Canis lupus familiaris: one gene and its partners. The protein of the gene in region 2 purifies or fractionates together with the protein of the main gene of each other region. This does not show direct contact. Links are inferred from orthologs where the notes say so. Each region holds a gene or a part of one and is shown on either strand. Other genes may lie near its edges.

The links.
Region 1: the proteins of ACTR2 (region 2) and CORO1C fractionate together in Homo sapiens (co-fractionation; 3 studies listed by BioGRID and IntAct, with this or other methods). This does not show direct contact. The link is inferred for Canis lupus familiaris from reciprocal best matches to the Homo sapiens genes ACTR2 and CORO1C.
Region 3: the proteins of ACTR2 (region 2) and CHURC1 purify together in Homo sapiens (affinity purification with mass spectrometry; 4 studies listed by BioGRID and IntAct, with this or other methods). This does not show direct contact. The link is inferred for Canis lupus familiaris from reciprocal best matches to the Homo sapiens genes ACTR2 and CHURC1.

What each region holds. Positions count from the first base shown.
Region 1 is NC_049247.1:18,586,630-18,593,780, reverse strand, and holds the end of CORO1C (coronin-1C), read right to left. Parts: intron 5,677-7,151; coding exon 5,619-5,676; intron 5,524-5,618; coding exon 5,278-5,523; intron 4,105-5,277; coding exon 3,985-4,104; 3' UTR 3,149-3,984; downstream 1-3,148. UniProt on the Homo sapiens protein: Plays a role in directed cell migration by regulating the activation and subcellular location of RAC1. Increases the presence of activated RAC1 at the leading edge of migrating cells.
Region 2 is NC_049231.1:66,018,526-66,026,112, reverse strand, and holds the end of ACTR2 (actin-related protein 2), read right to left. Parts: intron 4,990-7,587; coding exon 4,819-4,989; 3' UTR 2,301-4,818; downstream 1-2,300. UniProt on the Homo sapiens protein: ATP-binding component of the Arp2/3 complex, a multiprotein complex that mediates actin polymerization upon stimulation by nucleation-promoting factor (NPF).
Region 3 is NC_049229.1:39,578,602-39,586,436, reverse strand, and holds part of CHURC1 (protein Churchill), read right to left. Parts: intron 3,084-7,835; coding exon 2,948-3,083; intron 1,071-2,947; coding exon 1,000-1,070; intron 1-999. UniProt on the Homo sapiens protein: Transcriptional activator that mediates FGF signaling during neural development. Plays a role in the regulation of cell movement.

The DNA.
Region 1 (7,151 bases), on a different chromosome or scaffold from region 2:
GAAAATCAAGTTTCCATTTAACTACTGACTCCATCCGAACACACACTGGTGCTATAGAGTCCCTGCCCCCAGGGATACTTAATGTCGCTGCACCACTTTCTCCCAGCCACTGACTTAGGATGCTTGTTTCAATGTATTACTATTTCATCATTCATACGTTGACTTTAATAACTTTTTTCTGGGAATTAAGATAGTTATGGGAAATACACAATTGAGTAAAATCTAATTAAATACAAATTTCCCACACAGCTGGTACCTCCACACAGCAGTAACAAAACTTGTGTTTATTCTACACGTAAATATACACTGCATATGCATATATCCTGAAAGATGGCTTGCCAAAAGCAATCCATCCTGGGCTGGTTAATTAACCAACCCCCCCCCCACACACACACACACTGATTTTTCCTCTAATTCCTGAATGGATCTCCCACTAGTTTGCCTGGGCCAAAATTCCCAGAGATGAAAACTCTGGGCCAGAAGGCAGGAACATTTAGGACTTCAGATATACCTTGTTGCACTGCCCCTGGGAAAGGCTGTGCCAGTGTGTACACACTCCCTTCCAGTCTTTCAGGAAAGGACTTTAAACAAAGGGCACGGTCCCGTATTGCCTGTCTACTGGAGGAAAGTGTGTCCTTGGCCATGATGCATGTTCGAGTCCACTGATGGCTTCAGGACATGCTAATATGCTAGCAGAAACAGAAGGGTCACTGAGAGTTGACAGATTCTTAAGAGCCAACAATAAGTTTTTCTGGACACCAAGAGCACCAAAGGAAGTAGCCTTTAAAAAAAAACAGAAGTCTCCCTCCACTGGGCCTGGCTGGCCGTCTGGGGCTGACACGGTGACCTGTGGGTTTTCTGGCATGGACACAAGGCAGCGGAAGAGAGAGTCAGTTGTCAACACTTCACACATGCGTCTGCCCCCTGACTGTGGGCACAGAGGGGCACAGACAGTATCTGCTGCTCAACTTCCTGCAGCCACACAGAGGCTGACCACAAACCCGGCTGCCTTTCTCCTCACTGACTACAGCAACTTTAGGAGACTACATTTGAGGAGGGGGAGTTTTGTGCCAATTATTCATCATGTCTACAAACCTTTAGAAAAACCAAATGGTGGGGAATTCTTTGCTACAAATCACTGAAATGTCATGAGATGGTATTTTGGTATAAAAGGGGAAGCTAAAAGGGCCATGAAGTTCAACTGACCCTGAAAACCCTCTGTTGGAATAAAAATCACAGCTAAGCTGAGAAGGCTGTACTTGTACTGAAGAAAACAGTGCTTTCGAAAGCACAGTCAGAGACTCAGCAGTCACAATAACAATGCCAGCCATGCGGTAGTGGCAAGGGCTCTCAGTACGACTGGGCGCAGGTATCTCTCTTCCAAATGACATGGGATTCGTATCCCTCCTTCAGAGCAGGGAAAGAGATGCCCCAAGATTAGATCTGCCCCAGATCCCACCCCTGGTAAAGGCTAGAGGCTTAACTGGAGTCTGGCCTGTAGCCCTCACCCTGCTACACCCTACCCTACCTCCCCCTGTGCTGGAGGGCAGCGGCCTACCCACACTCACCCTGTACTCACCCTGAGAGAGGAACAGTCGCGCAGCTGGTTCCACTGAATCAGAGAGGCTGTGGGCTGCCTCAAAGACAGCTGAGGTGTGAAATAAACACGGACACCATTTTGTAATCAATGATTTTTTTATCTTTGAAAATGGAAGCAAGTGTTTTGACAGAATACTATGGCCGCTCTATAAGAGCCGATCTAGGAGTAATTCACTGGTTTTCCTCTGGGATAGCACGGCTTTAAAAAGAAAGAAAAGAAGAAGAAAAGAAAGAAAGACAAAACAGGAAGGATAATCCACAAACTTCAGGCGCTGACTTTGAGCCTGGCTGGGCACCTGTTCATTAAATAAGTCATAAGCTACGCACTAAGATCAGGATAATTTCTCCTTGCCCTCCGTCTTCTCTTTGAACCACATTTCCTATGGTGTTCCACCACCAACAATTTTGTTTACTTAATTTGATATCAGAATCTTAAAACATTTCTGAATCTTAAAAAGGAAGGTCTTCAGCAGATTACGTTGATAAAGAAACATGTACAGATTTGAATATAAGTCATTGTGATTATTGTTTTCCTTATATTTCATTATCCACTCCAATATTACACACACACACACACACACACACACACACCAAACACTCAGATGCCCGGAAGTTGTGGAGACAGAGATCCCAATATTGGGAAAAAACATGGTACCTTTCCTACAAAGACATCAGCCCCAGCTTGGCCGTAGATTCCAACCCGCTGTCACCACACTCCATCTCCATCCTGATTCCCGGTTATAGACATTCCCTGCCAGTTCCCTTCCACATCAGCAGGAATAGGCGCCAAGAGCCCCCAGGGGGGCCCACTGGCACCATCTGTTCCATGTTCAACCACACTCACTCAGCTCTTCCCCGAGATTCCTTAAATCTTGCTCCTCAAGCGTGCAAAATGAAAACATGGAAATGGGAGAGAAGCTAACTTGGTAATGGAATAGGTATTCAGAGCTCAGTCCCTGGCCCCTGAGTCTGGGGAGCCTCTGTGGGAGCTGGAGGTGCAAAGCATGTTGGTATGGTAGAGGGGGCAAAGGGACAGGTTTGTACACATTAAAGCTACAGCAGAGGCCTGTGCTCCTGGTTTTGCATAATTCTAGACCGTTCTCCTCAGTCTCAATATTAAATAGCACCCTCTGGCCTCCTCTTAGCTGAACGTGGAGAGGGCTGAGAGGCAGGAAGGACAGAAGGACTGGCTGGGGGAGCCCTGAGAGAGATGGCTGCATCTGGGAGACTGAGGGGAGGGCAGGGGCTCTGGTGGCACAGGGAGAGCCATGCTGCAGGCAGCATGGCACAGAGACAGCATGGGATGTTCGGAAGAGCAGAGGATCACGTGGGGGCACACACTCCCCTCCAGCTTCCCTAGGTCTTAGTCTCCTACTGTACTGAAGAGCTAGGCAAGCTGCTGAAATGGGCAAGAAGGAACACTCCACAGTGGCTTCTGTGGCTTCTTGTCCTGGGCCCTTATCAAGTATTGACCGAAACCTGAAACATGATGTTTAAAGTGATCAATGCAATAGATTCTATGTGTATAACAAAACTGCAGAAACACATGCTAGTTTAGGTTAGATTATAATCATCTGAAGCACAGGATAACCAAGAAGTGAAATTCCATCTGGTACAACCACCCAGTTTCTAGAAAAGAGAAAGAAAGAAAACAATACAATAGGAGCTTTTTTGATCAGAAGACTCCATGAAAGGAGAGGGTGGTGATCGAACCCACGTGATTTTTCAAGTCTTCCTTCTGTACAGTCATGAGGATGACCAGGTTTGTGCTGCAAACGAGCCAGCACCATGTGGCTACTGCTCTGATTGTTCTCAGATGAACGTGTATACAAAATAATATCTTATCTTCATTTAGTTTATAAACATACACAGTGCTGTCCCTTTCAAATTAAGAAAAAAAAAAAAAAACCACACACAAATACTGCAAAGTAGCAAAATACAAGGGGGGAAAAAAGCTACTTTTGGTTTTGGCAACATTAAAAAAAAGAAATATAAAAAGCAATGTGGCATTGGTCCCTGTTTATAAAAAAAAAAAGGTACTTGGGCACGACACTGAATCAGAATTGGTTGGTTTTCTAAAATTCAGAATATCTGGGATTTTAAAAGTAGCACTTTTGTCTTTTAAAAGTTCGACAAGTCACATAACACTTAAAACATCAAAAAAGCTTTCTGATAAAAAGCTCGGCTTTTAAATCACATTATGTTTCTGCAAATTTGGGAGACGAATTGAGTTCTTACTGGAATGTGGCCTATCGCTGGTTGACAAATGTGACCCGGAATGTCTCCGAATGGCAGTGCCTCCCTTTCGCCCTCCCTGGGACCACGCCAACAACCAGCTACCAAGCACAAGTTCCTGCTCCCATTTTGGGGGTGGGGGATGGACCTTCAGGCTGCAATCTTCGCCATCTGCTGTTCTAACTTGGAAATGCGTTCGTCTTGATTGCAGATTGTGTCTTTTATAGATTTGATCTCTTTTAAAATCTCATCCAACTTGGCTTCATTTTGCTAAGGAAACCAAAAAGGAGGAGGGAGAGGAAAGAGGTTGACTAAAATGCAGTAAACGAAGCTTACCAAAGTTGAGAATTTATAAGGCATACAATCTAATTTTCTACTTTGGAAATGCAAGCCATAGCCACCAAGTTGGGCCTTCTGAGAAAGGAACTGCATGCTGGTCAGTCCACCTGCCACCCCACAGTAGAACCAGGGTCCCAGTACTCCCCATTCCATGTGCCTCTGCACTTACCTGGACTGAGACTCAGAACAAGTCAAACTGTGGGATAGGACCGATCCCTTCAGGGCTGCCCCACAGCCCAGCCACCCCATGCAATACCATCAGGAGTAACTTTTATGTGACCCAGGTCAGGAGTGAACTTCCAGAGGCTACAGAGCTCCTATCATCTCCCATGGAGGGTCCTTCTTAGGAGCCAACCCCCTTGCCATGCTTGCTCACTCTTCTGAAGAGGGCTCAGCCTCTGCCACATGTGGAGCTGATTCTTTTGGAAACCTTGCAATCCACAGCACCTCATGTGGCTACCTCAGTCATGGCCAAAACACCAGCTCTTCCAGGCACCTTGCCTCTTCATTCCACTCACCCTCTCACTGACAACTCTCTGCCTTCCCTCTGGCTCCCTGGGATCCTGTTCTACTCCTGCCAACTCCCCATGCCCTCTCCTCCCTGGCTGGACTCCGCTCTCCCAGCAGCAGCACCCTCAGCGGCCATGTGGGTCTCCAACATCAGGTTTTGGTTCCCACCACTCCAATGACATGGTTCTTGCCAATAGGCCCAAGATCATCTTTGCTGCTAAGTCCCACTCACCGCCAGATATTTTGTCTCTGGAACATTCAGCAACACCTGAACCCTGTCACTACTCTTTCCCTTTCCTTGGGCCCTTTCTTTCCAGGTTCATTTCTACCCCAATCAGAGATGAATGTAAACACTCTGGGTGGGGAGAGACCGCTAAGAAAACACCCAAGCAGCTCCTGTATACTCTCTCAAAAATGGTAGCAGACAGATTTCTATCCTGGTCATTATAAAAAATGCAGCTAAAGGAGCCAAAGTGGCCACGAGCTCATAAATGTCATGTAACCAAGAAGGTTCTTACAAATAGTATGTGTCCTCGTTTACTAAAAGCCCTGAGCCACAACCAAGCACACCCCTCCACCTCTTGCAGTCCTCACCACACTGGCCGTGTCTGGAGTTTTCTTGGGGGCACTGATCAGGTCGCACTTCTTATTTGCAGTGGGCTTGCTATCCAGAATGTTCTTCTTGACCACCTTGAGATCCCTGTTTTTGCCAGGGATGTATCCATGCTTTAAGGAGATGAGGACCGGGTCTGCATTTTTCCCCTCAAACCACTCCTCTGCCTCCAGCGCTGCTTCAGGCCCCGCTGTGTCAGGATACAGGTCATCTTGGAAAAGGTCGGACTATAAGAGACATTTGGGAAAACGCTTAAAGATGACAAGCCTGAAATTTTAAGAATCTTTTTAATCGTGGATTGCCCAGGAAACTGGGCACTTACCTTCCTGGGAACAGTCATGATAATAGGCTCACACTTTCTCTCATGAAGTTTGAAGAATCTTCAAGGGAGAAATAGAAATAATAACAAAGTTGTATTAAGTGAAACAGGAGGCCAGGTTAACAGGCTTCATGACTGACGGCTAGTCTTCTACACTGCTGTCTGGGGCATGAAACGCTCTGCCTATCACCTGAGCTGATCTACTCTGGGGAGCAGGTGCAGTGTGTGCTCCCATTTTCCAGAGGAGAAATGCGAGGCAATGGGGGACTGGAAACAAGAACCAGGAGCAGAAGTCTTTGCTTCTGGGGACGGCCCAACTCTGGTAATCTGGGGGCTGACCAGCCATGGGGGAAGAAACACCACTACCGACGATGATTCACTTCTGCAAAAGTGACCAAGTCAGCAGGCAGGTGAAAACAAACACCTAATATTAGACAGAATCTAGGACCTGGAATGCCAGGTCTTCTGCCAACTAGAGGTGGCTGAACATTTGTCAGCATAAATGGGATTTTTAAAAGGGAAAAGAAAAGAATCCTGAGATTAAAACTTTGGCATTCAAGCAAACCACATCACGTCTAACATTCAAGAAAAATTTGAAATTACCCAAAATGTGGATAAGACTGGGCACCTCTGCAGTCAGCAGAGCAATAACGAAGACCGGCCTGGGTTGACACCCAGCTCAAGTGCTACAGTGCCCGAGTGTGTGGCAGCACATTTAGCATAGCATCCAGCATATAACGAGTGCTCAATAAACAGTAAGTAGGAGGTATCCTGAATGGTTATGCTTGTAGTCTTTTAAACTTTTAGATGACAGTAAAATTAATGCTTTTCCAAATACTGGAGGCAACCTTAAGTTAGGATTTGATCAGTTTTGAACCATGTTTTGATGAGACTAGTTTAAACCATACTTTTGACTTATCTCTGACAGCTTTCCTTTGCACTCCAGGTGTAGAGAAATGTATTTTTAAGAGAAACTTCTAATAATATAAAAAGGGGCTTCTAAAAAATTATTTTTAAAGATGTGTTCATTATTGTGTGATCAGGACAGCATAGTTAGGCAGATACGTATGTAGTGTTGTGGGGTGCCTGCAAGGCTCAGTCAGTTACTAGTGTCCGACTCTTGATTTTGGCTCAGGTCATACATGAGGTCAGGGTTGTGAGATCGAGCCCTGTGTCTGGCTCTGTGCTCAGCGGGGAGTCTACTTGAGATCTCTCTCTTTCCCCTCTCTCTCTGCCCCTCCCCCTGTGCATGCTCTATCTAAAATAAATAAATTAAAATTTAAAAAAGAAACGCAGTACTGTACAAATGTGTGGTAGGACCACAGGCCTGATGGTGCAGCACTAGTCATTCTGTTGTTTAAAACGGCCAGTTATCCATGCATCTCATGGACTATCTTTTGTCGACCACGAGGAGAAAACAGCCTATTGTTTAGGAAGACCACTAGGCATTATGCAATACAAATTTTTTTTTAAACCACAGTAGTATATTTTATGTATTATATAACACAGCTGAACTTCCTACATCAAGCTAACCCA
Region 2 (7,587 bases):
GGCCTTTTTCATTGATCATGGAAGTCTTCTGAATCGCACCTGGTCATCACGGTTTTAGTTTCCAAACCTACATTCCTTTCAACAGTTCTTAAAGTTGAATGTCAGAAGCTTTAGATCTAAGAAAGAAAACACAGACGTGGAGAGAGACCGAAAGCTTCGAATCAAAGGGTCAAATGCTATGTTATCAACTTATTTTTGACATTGGAGTCTCACTTAAAACCCAAATTTCTTACTCTTCAAATACCAAGTTGGCACGAGACTTGAAAATGTTTAAGTGCAGTTAATGGAAGTATTCCTCACTCAGGAAATCCTCAGATTTTGGTTACCTAAGATAAGACAGGCCTTGGAATTTCTTATGCATATTTTATAATATACCCGGAGAAAAAATCCCCACCCCTGCACACAAGAAGGCAGCCACTTCACAAAAAGATCAACTGAATATTGTTGCAAGTCTTGACTTCAGTTTCTTGAACTAACTGCTAAAAATGTCCACCTTTATCTGATATTCATACCTTTGCATTCAAAAATTTTTCAATGACTTTTTTAGTGCATAGAACTCTTTAATTCCTGAGGGTTGAGCCCTCTTCTCCAAACCCATATTCAAGGAAGAGCAAGGCGGCTCGGTGGGGTATCCTTTTTACCATTAAGAAAAGGCACTCATCAGGCAAAAGCTCAACCTGATGCTGACGGCCAAGGGCAGTGTTCTAGTCTACACCTTGGGCTTAGAAACCATACTTTATTATTCTTTATTTGCGTTCCGCACTCGCCAAAACCCAAACCCAAACCTTTCAGCTGGTGCACGCAAGCCTAGTTAAAATACTAATTCTTCTCTTTCAAGGGAAAATATTTGCAGAGTCCTTTCCAGTCTTTTTCCTCCTCTGGGTGCGCAGGAACTGAGGGGAGACAGAGGAGACAGGACAGGAACTGTTCTGCCAAAGGCAGTCATCATTTAGATCCCCCTACCCCGATGGGGCTTTTACATCTGCACACGACACAAAATGAAATACTTAGAATAGGTACAAAGCATTATTATTATTATTGTCACTGCCATAGTAAAGATGATTTAAACAAAACTATAGTGTAATAGCTTCTTTCTCCCTTAAGTTTAACTTGAAAACCCGGTGTAAGTGTATACAACAGCTGCCTTATTTACAACCCCAACGCAAGTTTTTCTACTCTATAGCTAAGATTACTTGCAATACAGTGGTTAAAGCCAGTAATTTGGCCCTTCCAAAGTATTCAAGCTTTTAATAGGTCAAGGAATTTGAGCTGGAGGAAAAGAGGGACCCTACACATACCCCAGGTACTGTGGGTAGTTGGGTCGATTAGTCCAAGATTAGATGATTTTGTGTTAAATATTGAGCTAAAATCAATCCGTGAGCTTCTGGTTCACTTTTGTTGGGTACCGTTCTTTGATGCTTCTACAATTAGCACATTTCCACACTCAACTGTGCAGTGCTCAAAGTTTATGGGTGAAGGGAGAAAATGGGAGAGCACTGCAACATTCGTTCCATCACCGAGGAGCAGCGCCCGGTATCTTCTTCCTCTGTGGCATATGGACACAGTTGGTCATGTTATTCCGGCAACCAGGAAGAGGCTGCGGAAGACGCGGAGGCAAACCCCAGGAAGTCCTGGGGGAACGTGGCCATGAAGGGAGAGATGAGATTCAAGCACACAAGTTCATGAAGAAGGCTAAACGAAAATCCTATCACCTACTCCTCAGCGCCTATCCTCAAAGTAGGAAAGCAAGGAGAGAGAGGTCAGTAGAACAAAGGGGCACGTTACATAGAAGGTCTGTCTGGTGTTCCTAATCCTGCAACAGCCACTCTAAGTCTTGCAGGAAATAAAACTGTCCGCTTGAAGGAAAAATTACAGCTGTGGCTGTAATTTCCTCTGGTTTCCAGTTTCTGTTTTCCTTACGTATTTAAAATCATACTGGAAAAAAAGAGGGATTTTTTTGTCGTCAAATAATAGAACAACACGGAACTGGAACTGAACCTCGCCTGACAACTAGTGTGAAGTTGTCAATCCAATTTGCATTAGCAAAAATGAAAATATGAATAAAAATGAGGGCAGCTCAGGTGGCTCAGCAGTTTAGTGCTGCCTTCCACCCGGGGTGTGATCCTGGAGACCTGGGATCGAGTCCCACGTTGGGCTCCCTGCATGGAGCCTGCTTCTCCCTCTGCCTGTGTCTCGGCCTCTCTCTCTCTGTGTCTCTCATGAATAAATAAATAAAATCTTTAAAAAATAAAAATAAAATGAAACTAAAGAGAAAAATGATAGGCAAAACGAACACAAAATTCAAATTTACTTTCAAAAATCTGATTTTATTTTCTGAATCAAAAAGAAGTGTATTCACGTTAAATGTAGAATGTTTACTGTCCATTAATCTCTCAAAATGCTTTCCAGATATTAACAACAGTGCTTAGAACTGTGTAAAAAGTCAACATCCAATACCATGTTTTAAAGAAAAAAGTTTAAATGTAGGACTTATTTCTAAGAAACCCTTCTCAAAGGTCAAGGCATTGGCAATTCCAATTTAAAAAGAATTTTAAGTGACAATGGTTTCCAAGAGCTAAACATCAGATCTTTTTTAAAACAGAAAAAAATTTTAATTTCTGAGGGACTCCCGACCTGACAACTTCAATTAAACATAGTATTTCCACTACCCCCCAGATTACTAAATGCATTATTTTGCCTTGGAATAGGAAAATTAGAAAATGGAAATTTTAAAATTATACTATATATTTATATATATAAATACACCATTTTAACTGTCATGTTTGCTAGCAGAATTATGAAAGTAAAACCAAATTCTATATTCTAGGGACAAATGATAAATGATCTTTCATTGTTCTAAGAGTCCATCCTAGTCCTTGTTGTTTTCTACCCTCATATATTAAAATCATGACCAAAGGCCAAGAGTTAATCCATTTACCTTAAATGAACAGCTGGGTAGCTACTGTCCTACATTTGTGTCCTTTAGCCCAGGACTCAAAGGCTGGGGGATTTAGAAGAACATGATTTAGGAACACTTTAGAATTCCAAAATGACTGACATCCATGTCCCTCCACTCTGGTACACGTTATTCATAGGCTATTCATGTGTACTGAAGCATGGCCAGCATGCAAACTTCTTTTACTTGTTTCAAATTGAGGTAAAACAAGACAAAAAATACTTAATATTAACAGAAGCTGCATAATTAAAACTAACCTGCTTTTGCTTATTTCATATAAATTGATTTTTAAGTTTGCTCACAAAAAAAGACTCTACAGCCAATAACCTCTCTAATTTCAGTCACCTAAAAATTGAGCTTCTTTGCTCAAAGCCATTATTAGTAAAGAATATTTTGAAATGAAGAAAAACATTTTTTCCCCAGAATCTGCATCTTGTCCTTAGCGTGATACAATTTATTACTTTATTTTTCAAATTTAGAAAGAATTCAAGTCTGAGTACTATTTGATGTTTTTTCAGTTACAAAGCAATACCGACGGGATTCATAAATATGATTTTCCTGACAGACGGGAAAGTCTGCTAACATTTAAGAAATATCAACAACTCTTCTTTCAAGTGTAAGGTGGCTGAGATTTACTAGTTATGATTACTTTTTCAGTACAAATACAAATTTAAATCTTGATTTTTTTTTTTTTGCCAATGTTTTAAGTAGTCAAATTTTACTCCACTTTCAGGTTTCAAATTAAAATAATAATAATAAAAAACTAATGAAAATTACCCAACTGGCAACAAGTCCCATATTTTAATGTTATTTTTAACCCAACAATTATAACCTACTGCCAGTAATTATTTATATGTATCTACTTATTCTTATTAAATAAGCACTGGTCAGTTATATAAAAGAGTAACTGCAAGAATGGTACTTGGCACTGGATTACCTTAATGCTTCTGGTATAAAAAGAAGCACTCTTAAGCACTTTTTAAATCTGTAATTTGAATTTCCAAGAGCATTTTTAAATTGTTAATTTTTCACTGATAGATTCTAGGGAGTCTACTCCCAGCTAATATGGTTGATTTAAAAACAAAACAAATAAATCCCTAAGCCACATGGTAATGTAATGGAATATTACACTTGCTTTTTATATCATGGAAACAGTTCCAGGCAGACCAAAAGTAGAAGAAAACCTGCCAAATCAAAGTACTGCAAATAAACTTCATCTTAGATATCTCAGAGCAGAAAAGCTCAAAAATCAAAAAGTCAAAATCAAAAGACCACTCCCTGCCCCCACGCAAAAAACCCACCCCAAACACTTTAATTCTGAGCCTAACATTTCCCTAAAATGTTAATTCCAGAAGCTTTAAGGTACTTCAACTGTGCAGTAACTGTTGAAAGCACCACACCACAGAGGAATTGCTGTAAAGGGGTCAACAGCTGCCCGCCCATGCCTTACCACCCCCACCCCAATAATATGTAAAAAGCTCCTGTAAAGTTTTTTCTTATGCTAATGAAGGCATACCACCTAGTGTGCTAAAGACTAAAACTAGCAGCATTAGAGCAGTAAAGTGAAAATAGGAAGCCGACAGCAATGATCTAAATGCCTACTTAGAAGAAACAAAGCAGCAGACAGGACCCTTTGCCCTCTCGTTGTGTTTGTAGGGAAGTGGTTGAATTAAACAGATTTACCCACATTAACAAAAATTTAACAAAGCTTCCCCAAGACACCAGAATAAAACCTGACCTTTCCAGTCAAAGGGCACAGAGAGGACTCTTCCATGTCCTGGAGTTGAATGAGTTCAAAGATTGGCAATAAAGGAAAAAAGAAAGCATTTAGGGGTGTGATGCGAACAAGCTCTGGAGTTAGTTTATCGAACAGTCACACCAAGTTTCTCCAGCACACGAACACCCTTTTCTTGATATTCTTGTCGGGTCATCCAGAAGTTGTCTTTGTCTTTCATGATATCTGCTAGAACTGCACCACCCAGGAACACCATATGCTTTCTGCGCGGTGGGTCTTCGATGCGGATCTTAAATTTCTAAAGGGGAAAAACAAGATCATATGTCACAAGTGCATAAAGCTTTCTGCTTTATGAAAATGATTTTTTCATATATTCTCCTGCTGAATTCTCACAAGTCCTGTGACATAAGTAGGACGGCACGATTCGGTATCTGAGACAGTGACATTTTTTGTATATTGCCCAAGGCTCACAGCTAAGAGATCACACACATCCATCCCAGTGCGCTCAGAACAGCCCTCATTTATACCCGTTGCCCCAACACTATTAACAACACCCCCGTCACTCTCAAAAGTGTCTTGATTTGACCAAGAGATTTCTACAATCAGCCTACTGAGAGCCCAAGTACCAGAGTCCTGATTGTGGCAGGTTTTCCCATCTCCTGGTGACGACCAGAGCAAATCACTTAGCCAGATGTCAAGAGTTTGGGTAAGAGGACTTCTACGGTTTCTTCAAGGTCTAATGCCTCTAAATCATAGAGGAAGGGGTCCCATGTAACTGTAAGATTGAAATTCTTTTCTTATAAGCAAAGCTCACTTTATATTGTCTCAAATTCAAATGAAATGTTCTCAAAATAAACAACCAAATATGGTCAAGTAAACCACGGGGATGCTGGAAGAATTGAACACAGCAACCAAAATTAAAGACAAGTGGGACAAGTTTTACACTCTGTAGTCACTCTTGATTATGTAACCACATAAAGACATACCTCAACCTTGCATGCGTGTGTGCTCTCTCCACCACTTCCTGGTGTTATCCTTAGTGACTTGGTCCTTCTCTCCCTCTTAAACTCAAGTGGCCCAACACCAACTACCGACTACACTTCACAGCTGCCCCCAGCAACTGTATACGACAGGTGAGAAACTCAACGTCTTGGTTTAACTGCATCACTTCTGTCACTTGAACCCCTCAGTGCAGCTCGGCAACTCCATGACACAGGTCTTCTCTCTTCTACTCGTCAAGACAACCATTCCATACCTCCTCCACTTCATAAACTTCCACCATCTCCCCCGTCCCTCCGAGCCTAACTCAGCCTTCTACAATCTTTCTTCCTCCCTCCAGCAACAATCTACTAACCACACCAGACTCAGCAATGATCCTTTTTAAAACAAGTCAGACCCTATCACTTTCCTGCTCAAAATCCTTCCCAGGCTTTCTATCTCATTAGGAGTGAAGCTAAAGCCTTCACTGTGGCTGAACAAGCCTTGCCTCCAACCACCTTTCTGAGCTCACTCCCAAGCCTCCTTGGGCTCACTCCTTCCCTTCTGGCCATGCCTGCACATTCCCAACAGCCCTTGCCGTTCCTGCCTGGAAGAGTCTTTGCACTGAGGGTTACGAGGCTCACTGCTCACTCTATTCAGGTCTCTGCTCAGAACCAATCCCTCAGAGCCCGGCCCTGACCACACTATAGAAAGATGTGTACCACCACTCACTACAGCTTTCTAGCCCCTGACCTTACTTCACTTTTCTTCACCGTGCCTTTTACTACGGACACATTCGCAGAATCCGAGTGGGGATCTGGTTTCTATTTACTACTGTTTTGCTTGTTTGGGCACCTGACAAGTGTTTGGCACCCAGAAGCAGTTCAAGAAATAATCACCTGAGACGAATTTTAAACTCTATGTGTAACTCAAAAATAGACAAATAAGCAAAATACTTAAACAAGGCTCCTTTTGAGTCTTTTAGTTTGTCCAATGCATGTGAATCCACATTCAATTCAATTTTCACAATCTGAGTCACAGTCGAAAGATATGACATTAGTATCTCTGATATATACGGTCCCCTGTAATATGTAATCTCATTATCTACAACAGCAGATCAAAGTTGCTAGGACAAAGCTCAGCGATTAACTCAGAATTCAATGACTCCCAGCTGAGTGCATAGTATATACACTATACTTCACACACTTCAGCGTTTGTAGGAAAAAAAAAAAAATCAATCCCAAATAACCATCAACTATTATATACTAGTTCATACATTATTTTTTATTCTATACATTCACAAGTACCAATTAACGCCTGTTTCAGGAGCTAAGATAGCTGATGGGGATTCAAAATATTTGACATATGATGTTTTACAATCTGATTAGGGAAATAAGACATATGCAAGAAACAGTCAGAAAAAATAACCTAAAATCAGAAAAATGAGACAGTCCAAGAGTAACAACGAAGGCTGATTACATATCCTAAAAGTAAGTTAAAAATCACCCCAAAACATCAAAGAAGTGTTTCTCTCTCCATAGTACAGCAGTCCCCACTTATCTGTGGCTTTGCTTTCTGTGGTTTCAGTTACTCATGGTCTGGAAGCAGATGATCTCTTTCTGACATATCACTACATCAAAAGGCCTGCATAACGCACGTCACCTCATCATGTAGGCATTTTATCCTCTCACATCATCACAAGAGTACAGTACAGTAAGATATTTTGAGAGAGAGACGTTCGTATAACTTTTATTCTACTATATTGTTATAACTGTCCTGTTTTATTGTTATTGTTAATCTCTTACTGGGTCTAATTTATATATTACTTATCATAGGTGTTCTTGTATAGGAAAAAACATAGCAACGTGGGATTCAGTATTATCTGTGGTTTCAGGCATCCACTGGAGGCCTTCAAACC
Region 3 (7,835 bases), on a different chromosome or scaffold from region 2:
GGGGTACCTGGATGGCTCAGTGGTTGAGCTTCTGCCTTTGGCTCAGGTCATGATCCTGAGGTCCTGGGTTCCAGTCCTGCATCAGGCTCCCTGCAGGGAGCCTGCTTCTCCCTCTGCCTATCTCTCTGTGTCTCTCATGAATAAATAAATAAAGAAAATTTAAAAAAATAAAATAAAATGCTACCCAAATTGGAAGGACTTAAAAAAAAAAACTCCCCTGCCTGTTAAAAGCTCTAACCTGAATTTTATATCCTATAGATGAATACGTAGTTCACTCTAAATAAGTAAGTCAATCTGAAGGCTTGAAAATGGAGGTAGTAAGAGACAGATACAGGCTCTAGTGTGTCCTTATGGTTACCAGGTTACCCCTGGCTCTGCCCCACTGCCCAGCTTTTCTACCTGACCATCAGATGATCTGTGAATCTTCAACAACTCAGGCATACAGCAGCCTTCTGTACAATTCTTCATGTGCTCGGTGGTCCAGCTTCTTTCCTCCAACCTTGGTACAGCCATCCTATCATTTTACTTAACGAATTATATTACAATATCTTACCACAGCTGAGACTACAAAGTTGCTCGACTCTATGTGCCTACTGGGGAAGACATGGATAACCTCCTTATCAGAATTCCCATGCTCAGCAAGTATGAGGGCAGTGGGCAAGCCAACACTCATAAAAACCAACAACTGTGCAATTACATAACTGGATAGAGAAAAAAACAAGCACAATTGTAACCTCATAAGAGCCCACAATGTGCTATTCTTTAAAAACAAAAATGACAGGCTTGAGATATCATGCATTTTGATTTGTGACTCTTATGAAGACAGCTTGGAACAGATCAATGTACATCTAAAGTGTCTCTCCTAACATACACAATTAGAAGAGAAGGATGGTCTCCTTTAATATTTACTAGTACTCCACTTATTAAAACTATATTTATATTTACAAAAGTACATTTATTATCCCTCCCCACAATAATATACCATATATATACATTTACCTGAAATTCATCCATGATACTGAATGTGTACTCATGCCTGGCTATTATGTGATGACAATTCTTACACAGATCTGCCAAAACAGAGAGAGATTTAAATAATTAAGTGTCGGAAGGTCTCTTAAGGCAGTAAAATTTCTATTTTCAGTAAGGTATTGCTTTATAAGAAAAACTGATATATTTAACACAGCAGCAGGAAACCCATTCTAATATCTACCTTGATAAGAAACCCAAAATCCATCACATAGCAACACTACATAACGAATGGCCTCAACTCAGAGATTTAACAGGCATATACTAATTCCCATTCTCAGGACTTCTAGAAACTGTACTACAAAAAACAATCATAAAAAGCCAATGCTAGACATTAAAATGAATTTAATAATAAGACTCCTTAAAAATATGATCATAAATAGGATTTTTAAAAAAAATATGATTTATTGAGTGCCTAATGTGTGCCAGATATAGTTCTAAGTACTTTTTATCTGTTTACTTACTTAATCTTCTCAAAACCCAAAGAGGTAGATCCTATTGTTATCACCTTTTTAAGGATAAAGAAACAAAGGCACACCACAGTTAAGCAATTAGCAAGACTACTGAGCTAGAAGTGTGGGAAACAGAATTCAAACCCATGCATTCTGGCTCCAGAGCCCTTGCTCTTAACCACTGTGTCCTACTACCTCTTTAAAATAGAGTTGAAAGGGTTATTCCTGAAATAAAGAAAAAGACTGTTCTACTTTAGAACACTTAGAATATTTAGAACATTTTCAATGACTAAAGGCTTAGTGTCTCTCATATCTTTTTTACAAAATATCATTATTTGCACATTTATTCCTCATATATTCAGAACATACTGAAGAACCAGGTGACAAGCAAAAAGAGGATATAAACAGTTTAAATTATCATCACCATACCTACTTGCTAAAATGTACACACACTTAATTTACTCACAAAAATTCTTAGAGTGCCAACCTCAGATCTGATTCATTTTTATGATACAGAGCTTATTTATTTGGTTCCTCAGCATAGAGGATGAGGAACAGCATATGAAGGTAGCACAGAAAGATAATGAGAAAGAAGACAAAAAAAAGCTGAGAGCAGAAACAAGACTAAAAAACCGTAACATCCCAGGGTCATTCTGTATGGCAGCAAATAGCCCTAAACATTTTAGTAGCTGTTGGAGGACATCACTGTATTAGACTATAGTAAAAAAAAGAAAACTCACATGAATGACCATAGGGTTAAAAAAAAAGTCTCCGTCTTGTTTCAGAAGGCATAAAGACTTTAGAATAAACAAACAAACGGGATGCCTGGGTAGCTCAGTGGTTGTGTGTCTGCCTTCGGGCCAGGGTGTGATCCTGGAGTCCTGGGATCAAGTTCTGCATCAGGCTCCCTGAACCCAGCCTGCTTCTCTCTCAGCCTGTCTCTGCCTCTCTCTGTCCCTCATGAATAAAGAAATAAAATCTTTTTTTTTTAATTTTTATTTTATTTATGATAGGCACACAGTGAGAGAGAGAGAGAGAGGCAGAGACACAGGCAGAGGGAGAAGCAGGCTCCATGCACTGGGAGCCCGACGTGGGATTCGATCCTGGGTCTCCAGGATCGCGCCCTGGGCCAAAGGCAGGCACTAAACCGCTGCGCCACCCAGGGATCCCAAGAAATAAAATCTTAAAAAAAAAAATAATAATAATAAATAAACAAAAAATGGTACCTGAATCATAAGCTTCAGTCATCTGCAAAAGTCACTTAGGCAGAATCTGATGATGCTAGCTAGCATCATATTTACTAGCATCATATTTATCTTCCTCTTAAAAACTGAACTAGCAACTCTGTTGCAATACAATATAGAAACAGGCCTCATAAAATACAACGTATCAGTAGGCACAACATATCAGCTTTCTAGAGCAGGTCTCTGCCACCAGATTTGCATGAAAATAAAAACTCTACTTACGATCATAGGTAACTATTTCTTCACCATCTTCCTCTTTCAAAGATTTGTTTGTGATCAGCATAAAATCCCGCTTACTGCACACTGCACAGCCTGTAAAGTTCAGCAAGAAAGAGCCATTCTCCAGGCAGATGTTACCCTAAGATATTAAAAATAGGAATTTAATTTTCTTCTATTTCAAAATCCGTGGTGAAAATAATTAATAGACTAAAAATTTCTAAAGGCAAAAAACCACCCCCAAAAAACCATGGCCAGAATTTACTTGCTTGAAGTCTGTACTAAGTGATTTTTTAAATTACTAGCTTTCCTCTAGAAGTGCTATTTATGGCAACTAAAACTGAAGCAGTGTTAAGCAGTAAGTCTCTGAGGATTGCAACTGTGTTTGAGAGGACTAAATGCAAATGGATATTTAGAAACTTAATAAAGCTTTAATAATATAAAATGTGAAGAGGAAAAATCAGAAGAATCTAATAGCCAACAATATTAAATGAGGCATAGCATAAAACTAGAATTAAAATACAATCAAAATGGAAGCACTGGGGCAGCCCGGGTGGCTCAGCGGTTTAGCGCCACCTTCAGCCCAGGGCGTGATCCTAGAGACCTAGGATCGAGTCCCATGTCAGGCTCCCTGCATGAAACCTGCTTCTTCCTCTGCCTGTCTTTGCCTCTCTCTCTCATGAATAAATAAAATATTTTTTAAAAAAATAGAAGCACTGAACTAATGATAAAAATGATCTTATACAATGTGATGGTCAGTTGATAGTTGAAATTGCATTTTTTTTTATGCCTTAAAAAATAATACAAAATAAGCAAAGAATAAACCCTCATCTCTACAGATGCCTGTCCTTAAGGGTATGTGTGATTCAGGCAGAGAAGATAAGCTCTGCAATTCATCAGACTGACACCACAGTGTTCAAAAGAAAGGGATTTGCTTCATCACTAAGAAACTGTAAATAACTTATGCTCCTAGCTCAAGGGAGGTCTTTGCTAAAGGCTTACTAATTGCTCAGGAAGTAATTTTATAAATACTCTAATTCAACCTCATTTCTGACCCATACATAAAGTATTCTTTAATAATTAATGTGACTAAAAACCAGTCAAATCAACACTTCTCCAATGCAGCTATGTGCTTGATACTGTGCAAAAGTACAGTGAAGGATTAGGGGATGAGTCACATCTTTCCTCCTTCTAGGTGCTTATGAACTAGCAAGAAAACCAGCTTTAAGTGATGCCATAGTGTAGCCTTCCTGGATTCCCAGCACCACAGTCAACCTCTCCCTTTGGAGTGGCTCCTTGATGCTATGTATTAAGGAAGAGATTAACTGTTAGGGTGGGAGTGGGTGGAAGCGAGGAAATCAATCTAACTATATAGTTGGGAGATACTAAATCACAGGCACATCAATTTAACTGCTAAAGGGGAAAAATGGCCTTGGGGTTAAAGTTCAAATTTCCAACTATTAAGAAAAGGTACTTTGATTTTTTAAAAAATAAACTTCACTGAAGTATAGCTTCTATATAATAAAATCCATATACTGTAAGGGTATAGGTGAATGACTTTTAACAGATATATGTATCAATGTAACCACTACACCAATCAAGATATAAAAATTTCTATCTTCCCAGGAGATCCTTCAGGCTTTGCAATCTACCTCCAATCCCTATCTCACTTCAAGCATTCTTTGATCTGATTCCTATCTCTAGATACTAGTTTTGCTTGCTATAAAATTTTATATAAATAGAACCATGCAGTACACTATTCTGCATCCCATTTCTTTTGTTCAAAATAATGTCCATGTTAATCATCTATGTTGTACTAGAAGCTCATTGCTTTTTATTGCCAAATAGTATTCCATTGAATGGATTCATCTGTTGATAGACTTGGGTCCTTTTCAGCTTGAAGTTATTATGAATAAGGTAGCTACAAAGACTCAGTAAGTCTTGTGTAGATATATGCCCTTCTCTTGAGTAAATATCTAGAAGTGGAATTGCTGAGTCAGATGGTAAAAATATGATCTATGCAAACTCTATAACTGCTCATTAATTTTCCAAAGTTTTCCATTTTCTATTCCCATCAGCACTGCATGAGTTCTAGTTCCTCCATATCCTCACCAACCTGAGGTACTGTATCTTTTATTTTAGCCCTCCTGATCACGGGGTATATCACAATAGTTTTTAATTTGCATTTCCCTCATGACTAATAACGTTAAACATCTTTTCATTGTGCCTTACAATGTACCTTCTTTAGTGGAGAGTCTATTCAAATCTTTTGCCCATTTTTTGATAGTTAGATTGTTTATCTTATCTAGTTTTAAGAGTTACTGAGTTGTAAGAGTTCTATATATATCTTATTTTTTTTTAATTTTTATTTATTTATGATAGTCACACACACACAGAGAGAGAGAGGCAGAGACACAGGCAGAGGGAGAAGCAGGCTTCATGCACCGGGAGCCCGACGTAGGATTCGATACCAGGTCTCCAGGATCGCGCCCTGGGCCAAAGGCAGGCGCCAAACCGCTGCGCCACCCAGGGATCCCCTATATATATCTTAGAGACAAGTCTTCTGTCAGATTTGTATTACAAATATTTTCTCCCTGTTATTGGTGTGCCCTTTTTAAAATGATGTCTTTTGAAGAGTTTTGATTTTTATGAAGTCCAATTTGTCAAACCTTTTCTTTCACTATTTGTGTCTTCTAAGACTAGTATCTCTCATCTGTGAAAAATATCTACCACAAGTCTCCAGAAAATTTTATGAAACCAAAGATAAATATTTACTATCTATTCATTCCACACTTAATATTTTTTAAAAAAAGATTTTATTTATTTATTCATGAGAGACACACAGAGAGAGAGGCAGAGACACAGGCAGAGGGAGAAGCAGGCTCCATGTAGGGAGCCCAACATGGGACTTGATCCAGGGTCTCCAGGACCACACCCTGGGCTGCAGGCGGCGCTAAACTGCTGAGCTACCGGGGCTGCCACACCTGGGCTGCCCCACACTTAATACTTCTTGAGGGATCCCCGGGTGGTGCAGCGGTTTGGCGCCTGCCTTTCGCCCAGGGCGCGATCCTGGAGACCCGGGATCGAGTCCCACGTCGGGCTCCCGGTGCATGGAGCCTGCTTCTCCCTCTGCCTGTGTCTCTGCCTCTCCCTCTCTCTCTCTCTGTGACTATCACAAATAAATAAAAATTAAAAAAAAATTAAATACTTCTTGAGATGCTAATCCATTATTTTTCTCTGCCAATTTTTTGGATGAGTACACTATACTTGCTACCATCATCTTATTGTCCTTTCCTTTGCTAAGCTCAAAGTAGTTTCTGCTCTTACTGCTCTCAGAAATATCGCAAGACTTCAAAAACTCCTAGAGTTGGTCCTCTGTGATTTCAATTGGTCAATCTCTCCTGAACAGGAAGAGAGTCCAATTCCTCCAAGAGTCGCCCATTCCACTTTTGCGCATCTGTTATAAAGTTCTTTGTTCTGACTCAAAGCCTACAACCCAATAACATCCACCCACTCAAGATTTCTAAATCTGCCTTCTGAAATTCCAAATAAAATTTTAATTCGTCCTCATGACAGCCCTTTAATTATTCCAGAACAGAATAGTCAGAAAAAAAGTGCTTATGAAAGGCATTTTTCAAAAAAGAAAAGAAAAGAAAGGTACTTTTCTGGTTTCTCAATCACCTCAAACCTTTTCTCTATTCTTCTTCTACTTTATTTTCACTTTCTAAATTATTCCTTGAAGCTCAGCCCTTGATTCTCCTTGATTCTCCACATTCTTTTCCTAAGAAAACAAATCCTTTCTATTTTGACACTTTTATTTGGCTAACTCATCTGAATCTCACACCTAAACTGCAATCCTGTATTTTCACTTGACTCCTTGGATGTTACATTCTCAATCTTGGATGATACGTGATACAAACAATCTGACCATGTGAACCCCAATTTTGGTTCTCTCTCCCATATGCCTCCAATTTCTGTAATGGTATTTCCAATTTCCCAATTGCCTAGATTGAAAACTCTAAGATCATCTATAGTTCCTCCCGCCATTAAATGGGTTGAGTTCTATTAATTCTTTCCTTGAAATGAAGTCTTCATTATCTCATGCCTACACTACTGTTGCCATGGCTCCCCAAATACTCTGTAGGGCTCTCCCTTTTACATTCCCTCCCCCCACCATAACCTCAACATACAGTCGTAAGATTCATTCCCCTAAAATATTTCAGAATTATTTCTCTATTCATTTTTTTCTGATGGATGCCCAATGCCTAAAGTGTAGAATCTAACTTTTTTTTTTTTTTAAGATTTTATTTATTTATTCATGAGAGACACAGAGAGAGAGAGGCAGAGACACAGGCAGAGGGAGAAGCAGGCTCCATGCAGGGAGCCTGACGTAGGACTGGATCCGGGTCTCCAGGATCATGCACTGGGCTGAAGGCGGCGCTAAACTGCTGGGCCACCGGAGCTGCCCAGAATCTAACTTCTTAATACAATTTTTAAGTCTTTTGGTTAGCTCAATTATTAAGAATCCAACCTAATCTCTTTAATACTCTTCCCTATAAACACCTCCCTTGTGTGGTCTCTGAAAAGTGCAGTGTTCGTTATTGAATTCATAAAAATTTATTTTTAAACTTTTTATGAATCAGAACACAGTGAAGTATATGCAACAAAAATGTACAGTATAATGCCTCTACCTAGTAGGTATCAGTAGTATCCCCAGTTGTGACAACTAAAAATGTCTACAGATAGTGTCAAACATCCTTTCGGAGGCAAACAAAACCAAAAACCTCACCCTGTTGAGAGCCACCGCTTTAATTAATTCACTTTCATTACTCATTCATGGTGTTCCATTCTATGATCCTATCACACTTCTCCCGTTTGTGACTACAAATAATGC